Linked DNA regions of Lonchura striata. The main gene of each other region encodes a partner of the protein of the gene in region 2 in a complex. Links are inferred from orthologs where the notes say so. Each region holds a gene or a part of one and is shown on either strand. Other genes may lie near its edges.

Region 1 (6,921 bases), on a different chromosome or scaffold from region 2:
GACACTTCCAGGGATGCCGACTCTGCCACAACCTAGGCTGGACAACCCTTCCTGCCATGACAAAATTCTTCCCAATATCTCATCCTGATGTCCCCTGGTGCCACCTGGAAGCTGTTTGGCCAGCTCTAGAGGGAGCAGGAGCAGTGAAGAGTTCCCAAGTAAGCTGGGACGTTTTCCTCACACAAATCCATGAGTTTTCCTCAGTTTTCCTTGATTTAGCCCTGTCTGAGGTAGGGAATTCATTAAAAGTGCCATATTGACCCCCAAAGTGCCCTCCAGCTGGGAATATTGACTCCCTGGCTGTCCATCCCTCTGCCCCAACTTTTCCCAAGGCTCTGCCAAGGAATTATTCCTCAGGGTGGGAACTGGGGGAAAATAAGTGGGAAAGAGGGAGAACCACCAACATCCACGGCCGTGTTCAGGTACGAAGTTAATAAAGAATTTAATAACCCAAGTGTGTTTTAAGTAAAAAAACCACCAGAAATAGTATAAATTGAACACCCACTTCCATAAATAAAAGTTGTACCAGGATCGGGAACAGAATTACCGCTGAGCTGCCAAAAACTGGTGCGACAAAGGCTTGATTTGGGTCAACCATTACAAAATTGATTTAATAACACAATCAAAATAATTGTACACTCGTGGGCGGCATTTTGGACGAGGGAACGGAAGCAGTGGGTGAGGACTTGGGGTTTTCCAGGGGTTTATACTCGTTCCAAAGCTTCCAGCATGATGATGCTGTTCCCTCGGATCACCTGGAAGGGGCAAGGTGAGAGCTGTTACCTAAGGGTTCCTTCCTTCCAGTTTGTTTTCCCAAAAATCCCAGAAAATTTGGCTGGAATTTCCTCCTCACAAAAGCCAAAATAGACTGATTTTAACCCGAAATCCTCAAGGATCACAGGATACCAGAATCCTTGAGAGTGGAAAAGACCTCCCAGTGCTCCAGGTGCACTCACCACCCTGCTCCCAGTACTCCCAGTGCTCTCACCACCCTGTCCCAGTGCCCCCAGTGTTCCCTGTGCCCTCACCACCCTATGCCCAGTACGCCCAGTCGCACACACCACCCTCCTCCCAGTACTCCCAGTGCCCTCACCACCCCACTCCCAGTACTCCCAGTGACCTCACCACCCTGTCCCAGTACTCCCAGTGCCTCACCACCCTGCTTCCAGTATTCCCAGTACCCTCACCACCCGACTCCCAGTGCTCCCAGTGCCCTCACTGCCCTGCTCCCAGTACTACCAGTGCCCTCACCACCCCACTCCCAGTACTCCCAGTGCCTCACCACCCTGCTTCCAGTATTCCCAGTACCCTCACCACCCGACTCCCAGTGCTCCCAGTGCCCTCACTGCCCTGCTCCCAGTGCTCCCAGTGCTCTCAGTGCCCTCACCACCCTGTCCCAGTACTCCCAGTGCCTCACCACCCTGCTTCCAGTATTCCCAGTACCCTCACCACCTGACTCCCAATGCTCCCAGTGCCCTCACTGCCCTGCTCCCAGTACTACCAGTACCCTCACCACCCCACTCCCAGTGCTCTCACCACCCCGCTCCCAGTGCTCTCACTCCCAGTGCTCCCAGTGCCTCACCACCATGCCGATGTTGTTCTGCTGCCCGCCCGCCGCCATCTCCACGCACTCGTCGATGACGAGGTTCATGAAGGGGTCGAAGCCGCGCAGGATGCCCTGCACGTGCCGCCCGCCGTTCAGCTTCACTGCGGGGAGCGGGGCCTGAGCGCGGGCACCCCACAACGGGGCCGTGCACCCCCCAAAACCAGCGGGGGGAATGGGAACGACTGAGCACAACCCGTTAATGGGACAGGGGGAACAGAGCGAATTTTCAACCCGTGTTCTAGTTAATTAATGAATTATTAATGAATGAATTAGAATTTTAATTCATGCGCTCTAAGGTCGGAAATCAGCAGCCGGGACCTCTTATCTGGGCTCTGTGAGGGGTGGGCGGGGTCCCCAAAAACCGGGTGGGGGGCTCAGGAGACTCCCACAGCGGGGCCACGAGAGGGAAACGGGGCTGTGGAGGGTCCCCAAAACGGGGCATTGTTGGGGGGTGGGTCCCCAACAGCGGTGGGCGTGAAGGGGATCGGGGGTCCCAGGGCACCGTGAGAGGGATTGGGATGGGGGTCCCTACCTGGGCACCGTGAGGGGATTGGGGCGGGGGTCCTGGGACACCCTGATGGGAATGGGGGCGGGGGTCCCTAAGCACCGTGATGGGGATCGGGGCGGGGGTCTCCGGGCACCGTGACGGGATCGGCATTGGGGTCCCTGCCTGAGCACCGTGAGGGGATCGGGGTGGGGGAGAGTCCCGGGACACCCTGAGCGGGACTGGGGCGGGGGTCCCAGGAACCGTGAGAGGGATCGGGGCGGGATGGGGCCCCCGGGCACCGTGAGGGGGACCAGGACGAGATCCGCTCCAGAACTCACACGACAGCTTCTTGTCCATGAACCTGCAAGGAGACGGCAGCGGGTGAGCGCCGGCGGGTGGCGACGGGGCAGGAGCCCCCCCGCCATTATCCCCACAGCGACCGCGCGTCCCCCGCCGCCGTTGCACCGGAGTACCGGGCAGCAGCGGCCCCCACTTCCCCCCGCCCGGGCCCCGGCTGCCCTCGCCCCGCTCGTCCCCGGCCGCACTTTTTCAGCTCGGGCGGGTGCGCTTTGCTCATGGCGCCCGCAGCCCCCGGCCGTCCCTGCCGCGCTCTGACGTCAGCGCGCCGTGCGTCTCCCCGCGCCGGCCAATGGCGGCCCGCGGCGCGCTCCCGCACTCACCCGAGTAGCGGCGCGGCAGGGGCGAGGCAGCGGGGGGATGCAGGGGTCGGTGAGGGGAGTGCGCGGCTACACGGGGAGGTACGGCGGCATGGCCGCCATGCGGGCGGCGCGGCGGGGCGCGTGCTGGGGGCGTGAGTGCGCATGTGTGTGAGTGTGTGTGTGTGTGCACACGTGTGTGAGCGCACACGTGTGTCGTGTGTGTGTGTCCACATGTGCACACGTGTGTGTGTGTGCCCGTGTGTGAGCATCACCCCCCAATGCCCCCCCTTATCTGCAGAGTTCCCTCAGCACCCAGCCCGTCACCCCCTCACAGCCCCCATTGCTCCCAGTGCCCCCCAGTTCCCCCATCACCCCCAGTGCCCCCATCTCCTGCAGTGTCTCCTCAACATCCACCCCCTCACCCCCAGTTCCTCAGTGCCCCCGTTCCCCACTGCCCAAATCACCCCCAGTCCCCCACATCACCCTGTTCCCCCAGTGCCCCCATACCTCCCATGCCCCCATTACCCTCAGTTTCCCCCATAACCCCCAGTTCCCCCTGTCCCCCCATAACCCGCAGTGCCCCCCAGTCCCCCAATCACCCCCAGTTCCCCCCATCACCCTGTGCCTCAATCACTGCCAATGCCACCCAATCACCCCCAGTTCCCCCATCACCCCCAGTCCCCCAGCACGCCCGCGGTCGGTGGAGCTGCCACCTGGCCTTTAATGAGCGCGGGGTGTCCCGGGGTGTCCCCGGGGTGTCCCCGGGGTGCCCCCGCGGTCACTGCTGGATGCTGGCCAGCCCGTCCCGCATCTTCCTGGCCATGGCGGGCACGAGGCGCAGGTGCTGCTCCCCGCAGGTGGCCAGGCAGGCATCCAGCTGGCCCCGCACACGCGGCTCCGAGCCCCCCGCGTCCAGCGCGTCCTTGGCCTGGTCCGAGCACTGCAGCGAGCAGCGGCTCAGCCGGTCCTGGGGGCAGCAGGGTCAGCGGGGCTGGGGGAGAATGGGGGGACTGGGAGCACATTGGGGGGATCAGGGGAGGGACTGGGGTGGGGTTCATGTCCTGCCTAGGGTCCCAGTGCTGTCCCCAGGGGTCTCAGGGGGTTCCAGTGCTGTCCCCAGGGGTCCCAGTGCTGTCCCAGGGGTCCCAGGCAGGATCCTGATGCTGTCCCAGGGGTCCTGGTGCTGTCCCCAGGGGTTCCAGGGTGGGTCCTGGCGCTGTCTCAGGGGTCCCAGGGGTCCCGGTGCTGTCCCAGAGGGTCCTGGTGCTGTCCCAGAGGTCCCAGGGGTCCCGGTGCTGTCCCAGAGGGTCCCGGTGCTGTCCCAGGGGTCCCAGGGTGGGTCCCGGTGCTGTCCCAGGGGTCCCAGGCGGGGTCCCAGTGCTGTCCCAGGGGTCCCAGGCGGGGTCCCGGTGCTGTCCCAGGGGTCCTGGTGCCTGCGCTCACCTGGAACTGCTCCAGCTCGGCGGTGACGATGGCCTGGGCGCGGGCCAGGGGCGCGTGGCAGCGCTCGATGCAGCGCTGCACCTCCTGCATGGAGGCCGCTGCGTCCTCGCAGCAGCGCGCGCTGCAGCGGAACATGGCGCCCTGGGGACACGGGGCACGAGGGGTTAACGGGGGACACAGGGCACGAGGAATTAATAGGGGACACCCTGGGGACACGGGGCATGAGGGGTTAACGGGGGACACAGGGCACGAGGAGTTAATAGGGGACACCCTGGGGACACGGGGCATGAGGGGTTAACGGGGAAACAGGGGACACAGGGAAAACAGAGGACACTCTGGGGACATGGGGCATGAGGGGTTAATGGGGAAACACGGGACAAGGGGGTACACCCCAGGGGCACCAAGGGTCAGGGGGTTAATGGGGGGCACCCTGGGGACACTCCGGGGACACTCCCAGGTGAGGGGGACACTGGGGACACGGTGGAGAAGGGTGACCCCCAGGGCCATGGAGGGAAGGGGGGGTCACAAGGGGTCAGTGGGGTCAGTCTGGGGGTCCCAGCCCCCTTGGGGGGACCAGCCGGGTGTGCCCTGAGCAGGGGGGGGCACAGGGAATGAACTGGGGGGCACAGAGAATGGAATTTGGGGGGGGGTCTCAGTGGTTTAGGGGGTGTCAGGGTGTGTATGGGAGGGGGTCGCAATGAATTTGGGGGGGTCACAGTGATTTGGGGGATCTCAGGAGGTGTATAGGGAGGTCACAATGAATTTGGGGGGGTTTCAGTGAATTGCGGGGGTGTCAGGGAATTTGAGGGGGAGGTCTCAGTGATTTGAGGGGTGTCAGGGTGTGTATGGGAGGGGGTCACAATTAATTTGGGGGGATTTCAGTGATTTGGGGGAGGTCTCAGGGTGTGTATGGGGGGTCTCAGGGTGTGTATGGGAGGAGGTCACAATGAATTTGGGGGGATCTCAGTGATTTGGGGGGGGTCTCAGCCTGTGTATTGAATTTGGGGGGATTTCAGTGATTTGGGGGGGTCTCAGTGATTTGGGGAGGTCTCAGGGTGTGTATGGGAGGAGGTCACAATGAATTTGGGGGGATTTCAGTGATTTGGGAGGGGGGTCTCAGGGTATGTATTGAATTTGGGGGGATTTCAGTGATTTGGGGGGGAGTCTCAGCCTGTGTATTGAATTTGGGGGGATCTCAGTGATTTGGGGGGGGTCTCAGGGTGTGTAATGAATTTGGGGGGATCTCAGTGATTTGGGGGGGGGGTCTCAGGGTGTGTAATGAATTTGGGGGGATCTCAGTGATTTGGGGGGGATCTCAGGGTGTGTATTGAATTTGGGGGGATCTCAGTGATTTGGGGGGGGTCTCAGGGTGTGTATTGAATTTGGGGGGGGGTCTCAGCCTGTGTATTGAATTTGGGGGGATCTCAGTGGTTTGGGGGGGTCTCAGGGTGTGTAATGAATTTGGGGGGATCTCAGTGATTTGGGGGGGTCTCAGCCTGTGTATTGAATTTGGGGGGATCTCGGTGATTTGGGGGGGGTCTCAGCCTGTGTATTGAATTTGGGGGGATCTCAGTGATTTGGGGGGGGGTCTCAGCCTGTGTATTGAATTTGGGGGGATCTCAGTGGTTTGGGGGGGGTCTCGGGGCCGCTCCCGGCGCTGCCCGGGGCACCCACGTGTGTTGGGGTCGGGGGTACCGCCGCAGCCCCGGGCGGGCGCGGACCCCTCCCGGCGTGTCCCCCGGTGTCCCCCGGTGTCCCCCGGTGTCCCCCGGTGTCCCCCGGTGTCCCGGTACCTGCATGGCGCGGATCTGCTCCCGCTCCAGCCCCTGCACCGCGCTCTCCACCGCGGCCTGCACCCGGCCCTGCGCCGCCTCCGCCATGGCCCCCTGAACCCGCCTTAAACCCGCCCTGGACCCGCCTTAAACCCACCTTAAACCCGCCCTGAACCCGCCTTAAACCCACCTTAAACCCGCCCTGAACCCGCCCTGAACCCGCCTTAAATCCGCCTTAAACCCGCCCTGAACCCGCCCTAAATCCGCCTTAAACCCGCCTTAAACCCGCCCTGAACCCGCCCTAAATCCGCCTTAAACCCGCCCTAAACCCGCCCTGAACCCGCCCTAAATCCGCCTTAAACCCGCCCTAAATCCGCCTTAAACCCGCCCTGAACCCGCCTTAAACCCGCCCTGAACCCGCCTTAAACCCGCCCTGAACCCGCCCTAAACCCGTCCTAAACCCGCCTTAAACCCGCCCTAATCCCACCCTAATCCCGCCCTAAACCTCGCCCCGAACCGCCCTAAACCCGCCCCAAAACTGACGAGAATCGTCCCAAAAACCCGCCCCAAACGTGAGGGAAACCGTCCCAAAAACCCACCCCAAACCTGAGGAAAACTGCCCCAAAATCCGCCCCAAACCTGAGGAGAATCGTCCCAAAATCCGCCCCAAAACCTAAGAGGAACCACCCCAAAACCCACCCCAAAACCCACCCCAAACCTGAGGAGAATCGTTCAAAAACCCGCCCCAAAACTGAGGAAAACCGCCCCAAAACCTGAGGGGAACCGCCCCAAAACCCGCCCCAAACCTGAGGGGAACCGCCCCAAAATCCACCCCAAATCTGGGGGGAACAGCCCCAAAAACCCGCCCCAAAACCGGCCCCAAACCTGAGGAGAATCGTTCAAAAACCCGCCCCAAACAGGAGGGGAACCGCCCCAAAACCTGAGGAAAACCGC
Region 2 (7,760 bases):
AAAAGAAACTGGTAACCACCTCCAATGTAGTTAGACATTTCTCATTTTCATTAATTTAAGTTGTTCTGGTTATCTCCATTTTAGAAAACTCAACTGTAAAAAAACAATTAATTTGAATGGTGAAGCGACCTGTTATCAAGAGGACTCAAGAAAAAAAATCTTCATGCTGCCTTTGAAGCAGATACCATGTATTCAAACAGCACGGGTGTCTGAAACGTAAGCTAGTCATTTGGCTGTCTGTAATTTTCATATGGTATCTACCTAATACATCCACATTTTATACATTACAAAACACATATTTAAATAAACTCTACAGATTTGAAATAAAGCATTTTCTGGTTTAAAAATTGCACAGCTAAAAGACTGTAAATATACTATGAAACAAAATAACAAAAAACCATCCCAAACAAAAAACAACGCACAAAAATGCCTAAGCAAACAAAAGTCAACCAAAGAGCACGTCCTTAACCATCATGAACTTGCAAACATAAGAAATACATTACTCAACTGTAACACCTAATACACTAACAACTCCACACACTAATGTTACCAAAAATTACTCTTTTTACTAATTCATCACTATAAAAATCCACAGCACCCAATAACTCCTTTGTTAAAAGCAAAGTGATTTCTGAATCACTTACCACCTGTGGACCCTAGCAAAAAAATACCAATCAAAAAAGGGTTTTTTTTGATTTCTGCATTTATCTCCAGTGGATTAACGCTAGACTGCATTCTGAAGATTTTACATCACTGAGACTGTTACAAAAGAAAGAACAAATATAGCACTAGGGGCCAACTAACCTTGATTTCCAGAATACTGTTTGTGTCCATAGGGATCCCCCGTGTTGGCGCCTCCTTTCTCCCTCAGGTTCTCTTTGAGCGTGGGCATGTGCAGCACTGAGCCGTACTCCGTGCGCAGCTTGACAGCCATCTTCACCTTGTGACTGTGGCAAGAGAAAAGCAAAATCCTCACTGAACCCCACTTTCTGAACCGCTACCAGGTTTTGAAATATCTTAGAGAGGATGTCATAAAACTTAACTTTACAACCCTAATATTTCTCTCCCCTCAAAACTACACTGTTGCCAGTACAGAAATATCTGAATTTCTGACTTGGGTGGAGCAATCACTGACAGAGTTTAAAACTTCACTGAGTGCAGCAGCACTTACCTTTCTTCATCCAATGGGATAGGTTTGGCATTATCAGCTACAAACATGTCATGGGTTCTCTTCAAAGACCTGAACACAAGTGTGTGCACAGAATGCTTTTGCACTTCCTAAAATAAAGAAAAGAGTATTTAAATAAGTTTGAACAGATCTACATCAAAAACTGAAAACTGAAACATAAATTGAACTGAGTAGCAATTTCTCAGTTCTATGACATGCAACCATTTGGTTCACAGAAGACACTAATATTCTTGGAAACTAAAAAGTTAAGTTATTATGTCAGTTGTTTTACTTCAGTGTTTATTCAAAACTGTATTCTATTCCTTGAAAACTTACAAGAATTTGAAAAGCAAGCCAAAAACTTTAATCCAACTTTCTGCACTGGCATTTACATGACAAATCCATGAATATAAAAGCTTTTATCCCACGTCCTTCCCAGTTCTGTTTTCATATGTAAGCAATATAGAAGCCAATTCAGAAAAACAAACAAACAAACAAAAACCACCTGTACATTTTCCTTCACTACCACTGTGAAAAGAACATGAGCAGTCATTAATTTCTATGTACAGTACCACTTCATGTTAACATGGCTAATCACCACCCAAAAACAGCAGCTGTTGACAAACAGAGGAGTAGGTACCACCATGTCTCCCCAACAGGGAAGAAACTTGCTGCAAGTAATTTTTGATGGATGCTTTTTGAAAAAAAATAGCTCATAGTGTTGCATCAGGCAGCAGTTGTTGCACCTTCTTCTACAACTCTGACAGCCCCACATGCCTTCAGAAGTGCATGATATTCACTCCACAGTAAAGATTCTACCACCTGTAAAACCAGTGGCCTCCTCCACAGGTGTGCTCGCAAGGCCTCACAAAAGAAGCTGGCTGACAGAGTCAGCAGTAGGTTTCTGGTGGTTAAACATCACAGCATCACTTCCCCACAATCACAGAACAGAATGTACTGAGCTGGAAGTGGCTTACAGGGATCACGGAGTCCAGCTCCTGGCCCTGCATAGGACACCCCAAGAGGCACATCCTCTGTGCCCAAGAGCATTGTTCAAATGCTCATTGAACTCTGTCAGCCTTGCTGCTGTGATCACTTCCCTGGGAGCCTGTTCAAGCACCCCTCCACCCTGACCTTTGCCTGATATCCAACCTAAACCTCCCCTGACACAGCTTCAGGCCATTCTCTTGGACCACCACAGATCGGATCCACGATCAGATCGGAGCCTGCTCCTCTGCTTTCCCCTCGAGAGGAAGCTGTAAACTGAAATGAAGTTTCCCTTCACCCTCTCCTCCAGGCTGAATATGGCAAACGACTTCATCCATTCCTCACTCCGACCATTCATTCTGACTATTCATCTCCATATGCTTTATACCTTTTCCCGATGTTGTGGTACCCAAAACAAACCCCAGCACTCGAGGTGAGACCGCCCCAGAGCAGAGCGGGACAATCCCCTCTGGTGACGAGCTGGCGGCCCGATGGGCCCCAGCGCCGGCATTCGGCACAAGTCTGGCAAAGCAAAGCCGCTGCTCACTCCCGGCCACACACGCACACTCCGACCCGCACCTCGCTGTCCCCGGGCCGCAGCGGGCGGGGCCGCGCAGATGGAGGGGCCGCCACGGACCATCCCTACAGCCCTTTCCCACCCGGGGACTGCGAGGGTGCAGGGCGGCGCTTCTCCCGCCCGGCCCCAACCCGCTCCCGCTCCCTGGTCTCGCCCGGAGCGTCTGCAGGCCGCGACAGAGCGAAGGCGCGGGGCCGCTCCCCGTGCCTCACCTCCGCCATGGCGCCGCCGGGCTCCCCCGCCGCGGCCGCTCTGGAGCCACTTCCGGCGCCTTCCCGCGCCGGGCCGGAAGTGACGCCTGAGCCCGGGCGGAGGCGCCGAAGCGGCGGGGCGGGGCTTATGGCAACCCCTCCACTCGCTGTGCGGTGGTTCAGGGTTCGAGCCCCGCTGGCGCTACCGGAGCAGCCGGTGCGAGTCACTTCAGCAATGTGTACAAATATAGAGAGGGGTGGTGACAGGAGAATGAAACCAGGCTCTGTCGGTGGTGCCAAGCAACAGGACAAGAGGCAGTGGGCAGAACCTCATGCACAGGAAGTTCCACCTGAGCATGGGGAAAGCGGCACAGAGAAGTGGCGGAGTCTCCATCACTGGAGATAATCGCAGCCCTGTGCCGCATGCTCCGGGATGGCCCGGCGGGATCCGATGACCGCACTCACTGCGGTCCCTCCGGCCGGAGCCATCCGCGGCCATCCCGGGGCGCGCTGTCCCCGGCGGCGGGCGCGGCGCAGTGCGGCCGGCGGCCGGCAGAGGGCGGTGTGGCGCTGCGGAGAGGCGGGAGCGGCCCGGCCCGAGCGCTGCCCCGCAGGATGCGGGATCGAGCCTGGGCTGGGCAGTCCCGCTTCCTTGGGCCTGAAACTATCGCACTTTGCAAGTGTTTAGGGCCGTGGGGCTACAGGGTTCATGTGTTGCTTTCCTCGTGAGTTCTCAAGGGTAAAGCCATACGGTGTTGAACTGCGGCGATATTGGATGTTAGCCATTATAGCTGATCTTTTGGGAAGGGTGTCTTTAGTTTGGCTCCACAGGACCTCATTTTGATGAAGAGCAAAGGGTGTGAACAAGCTGGCGACCCCTGTACTTCATGTCAAAGTGTTGGCTGTGAAAGGGCAGAGGCTATAATTCTATTACAAACGTACCCTGTTAGTCCACCAGGTATTTCACTTCCATTTGTGAGCAGAATAACTAAATGCATTTGTGCAAATTTCAAATAGGCACCTACTTTCTCCACATATACTCACCTGTTCTTAATTTTAAGAAGTCTTGTCCTCCTGAGCAGTAGCTGGGATTTGGCAAGCTCATCTTTTGCAGCCACTCCGTCATGATGCTCTTCTTTACCACCAAACCAGCCACTCGCTCTGTCTGCTTGCCTGCATGCCTGAGCTGTGAACAGTTTGCAAAACCATCTGAGCTAGAAGTAATTCAGTGCAACATAGCTGGTTCAAAACTGCTGTCTTCTACAGGACAGCGTTAGCTTGGCATTTCTGGCACACAGCTTGCCTACTTGACATAAATATCGTGTCTTTTCTGCAGTTGGTGGGTCACTTCTGGTGGCTGCGCTGGTGCTTTGTATTTAGTAATTTAGGATACAGTGATGGAAACGTGCTCGAAGTGGCTTTGAGCCCCATCTCCCGTTCTAGGTAGAGTCGGGAAAAGATGCCAATTACATTGTGTCAGTAGTGGGGAACTATTGCCAGCTCAGCTTCAAGCCAAGGCAGGCAGGTTTCATGTTTAACAAGCCAGCCTATTTTGGTATTACCTCTGGTGTGGCTGGCAATCCCCGTTAGATTTCAGAGCTTGCCATAAACACCAGCACAGCATCTCGCAGAGAGGGAGCTTTGTCTGCCCTTGCTTAAAGTGCAACCTAGAGTGCAAACTCCACAGGGCAGTGTGTCAAAATGGGGCAAGTCTCTTACATCCTCTTGGGCTGATGAGGTTAGACTGAAGATACACAACATTTGAAAGGAAACTTGGAGAGAGCTCAGAATTTCAAATAGGTTTATCTTTCTTTTTTAAAGTTGCACGCAGAATAGCATGTGCCTGCTTGATCACTCAGTTGACTGGTGGATTTGATGTGTGGAAATGGTTTAAAGGGTAGTCTCTGGCTGTTTATAGAGTTGTTTCTTTCCTATTTTCTGTTGAAAGAAATCAGATTTATTTCCACTGCTTTTTAAAGGGAAACAAAATTTGAAATATGCACTCTGGTAGCAAAATTTTAAAAATTATATTTAGCGAGAAAACTTGTCTGCACTTGTTATTACTATCAATAGAAGTATTCACATGGCCCTGGAGTTGCTGTAGTTTTCCTATTTTTTTTTACACATAAACATTCCCCTCAGAAATTTATAACCTGAATTTGTTTCCTGTTATCCTGGTAATGCTTTAGAAACTCAGAGGACAAATTCATCTTTTCAGAGTTTTCAGAATCCAGTTAGGGGACAAATTTATTTTTTTTTCCCTAGAAGGTTTAGTCTAGGGTGAAATTTAGACCTGGAACATCAATAAATCATGACAGTAATATTAATAAGAATATGCACTTCATTAATTTTCTTTGTTACGTATGACTTGATGTGTGCTTGCATGTCAGCTACAGCTGCAATTCTGGAAATAGCTAACAATGTATTATTTTATAAGCACTATTTCATAGAAGGTGACTAACAAATTGGATGAACTTTTAGTGTTATATGAAAGCCAAAGTGAATAGCCCAGTCATTAATGTTGCTCCCAGAACATTGAGATAGCATTCACGATCATTTACAAGAAATCTTTGAAGTAATATTTGCTACCAGTAAAAGCAAATAAGAAGGATGTTCATCTCAGCAGAGGTGAACGTTTAAGTTTACAATATTCTTTTCATAGGATGGCACTATTACAACACAACTGTTTTAAAAGGACATTTCTAAATCAACAGCTATTTTTAAATTGAAACGCTATAGCTCAGTGTAAGCCAAGAAGGTTCTGTTCCCCAAGACCTCCTTTGGGGATGCATCCAGCTCTGAAGAGCCATGATCTGGTGATCACGGCTCGCCTGGGTCGGGGGGTTTGTGTAAAGAGGGTTGCATCACTGGCCAGCACTACAAACACCAGGGCAGCAGGCAAACAGCCGTTCCTCAAAACACACACACGCCTCTGCCAGTAAGTGCCTTTTTAATAAAAAATACTGTACACAGGGGTGTCCTGGAACACAAACAGATCCATGGAGTATTATTGCAGTTTCTAGCAGACATGCTGTGGTATCACCACCACATTACCTCTGGGAACACCTTCTCTTTAACCACGTCAGTTGGAGGAGGGAGTATGAAGGAAAAGAGGTTGTTCTGTTTTGAAGAGAGTACTTCTTTGATACCATTTTTCGAAGAAATGTAAGCTATAGTTTTGGTTCTTCATAAGGTTTTATTCAATCTCTATAAAGCGTCAACCTGACTGTAATGGTTTCAAGCATGAGAGTAAATCACATCTCATAACTGAGATGCTAATGGAGATTAACTTCTGCTGCCAAAATGCTTTCCTGTATGTGTGTGTGTTTGCCAGGATAGACTCCTCTTTATGTCAGTCCAAATTTGGACCGTTTTTGTTGCTAAAAGCCTCCAGGCACAACCTCTGCAGTGCAGACAAGGCCCTTGCTTACAGATGGACAGTCACACGATCCCTGCCCTGAGGCATCTGGTCATTTGGCAGGTAGCCCCAGCCTGCTGGGGTGTGACATACACGTGTTGCTCATGGAGAATCCTTGTGGAGACACCACCACCCAGCTCTCCTAGGGAAGCCTATGAAAGGTACTGGAGGTCAAAGGCTGAGTTTCAAAGGGCAAATCCCATCTAAGGCAGAATAAGCCTGGGGGTTTCCCATGCTTGGGCTCTGCAGTTGGCTTGGTGGCTCCTGCACCAACTCTCATCATGCAGTCTCTGACAGCTTCTGCACAGACACAGCCAGGGCTCTCCATCAGGCGCTAAAGAGAGCTTAATGCCTGAAAGAGAGCACCATAAATTACTGAAGAACATGCTGATAGTTTCAAAACAGATTTCGCACAAATATCACTTGATATTATTAACATTTAATTAAGATTTGTGTGAACTGAGCTGGGATAATTTGAGTTTCTAGCTCAGGAATAGTGAGACCTAGTTTTAGTTCCACTGTATCACAGGCTGCTCATAAGCCCTGGACAGAGGTTCAAGGATTATGTCCCTTCCATATGAAAGATGAGAGTGGCTGAACTTCCCTCAGAGGTACATGGAGGGAAAACTGTATTAAAAGTTAGGATATTCCCAAAACCAATGATAACATCTTGGCTAGCATCCATAAGTGGAAATAACTTGTTAATTATGTCAGTTTTGGCCATAGACAGATTTCTTAATGTCTTAGGGAGAAGTTTGTGTTCTTCCAAATCTAATAGTGTTGGTGCTGTCCTCATGCAGATCCAGTTCAGTGGAGTTTCAGCTCCTTGAGCCATGGCTGATTTGGGGCCAAAATGTTTAATAATTAAACCAGTCAGGTTAAACAGTTTTCATATTTTGTGAATCTCTGTAGTTTACTAGAATTCTGACAACAGCATCAATACAGGAAAAAGGTCTAAACCAATACATTTTAGCTGTTCTTATCTTTGATTCCTGTAAAATCCTCCTCTCCATCATGTTAGTCTTTGAAATGGAAGCTTAGACCACAGTCTACATCCCTTCATTGTTTCAGACATTGATATGAATGACTTCAGAAAAGTGTGCTGGCTCCACTTGGCAGATTTAATTTAATTCTGTATATTATAGTCATTTATAACGCCTGAGAAAATCACAATATATAAACACACTGAAATGTTAAAACTCTGCCAATATAAGATCTATGATATGCAAGTTCCTATAAAATATTAGAAAGTATGTTTGAGCATTTCACTATGATTTCAAGTAACTTCATGCTGTTATTGTCTCAAGAAATTATTAAAAACATTTAAATAATATTTGAAAGATGCAATTTTTGTATTAAAAAAGGAAACCAGCAAATTAATATGCAAAATTGAATTATTTTAGTTCATTTACAATGTAA

Evidence for each region. The genes of interacting proteins can lie anywhere in the genome.
Region 1: PLRG1 (region 2) and SNRPG share a complex: the UniProt entries of both Homo sapiens proteins name them as parts of the minor spliceosome. The link is inferred for Lonchura striata from reciprocal best matches to the Homo sapiens genes PLRG1 and SNRPG.

What each region holds. Positions count from the first base shown.
Region 1 is NC_134634.1:399,339-406,259, forward strand, and holds SNRPG (small nuclear ribonucleoprotein G), read right to left. Parts: upstream 2,709-6,921; 5' UTR 2,671-2,708; coding exon 2,639-2,670; intron 2,455-2,638; coding exon 2,432-2,454; intron 1,708-2,431; coding exon 1,583-1,707; intron 756-1,582; coding exon 705-755; 3' UTR 585-704; downstream 1-584. Other genes in the region: protein FAM136A, read right to left, coding at 3,531-3,719, 4,196-4,336, 5,989-6,075. UniProt on the Homo sapiens protein: Plays a role in pre-mRNA splicing as a core component of the spliceosomal U1, U2, U4 and U5 small nuclear ribonucleoproteins (snRNPs), the building blocks of the spliceosome.
Region 2 is NC_134606.1:42,269,620-42,277,379, reverse strand, and holds the start of PLRG1 (pleiotropic regulator 1), read right to left. Parts: upstream 3,012-7,760; 5' UTR 2,954-3,011; coding exon 2,945-2,953; intron 1,279-2,944; coding exon 1,172-1,278; intron 948-1,171; coding exon 805-947; intron 1-804. UniProt on the Homo sapiens protein: Involved in pre-mRNA splicing as component of the spliceosome. Component of the PRP19-CDC5L complex that forms an integral part of the spliceosome and is required for activating pre-mRNA splicing.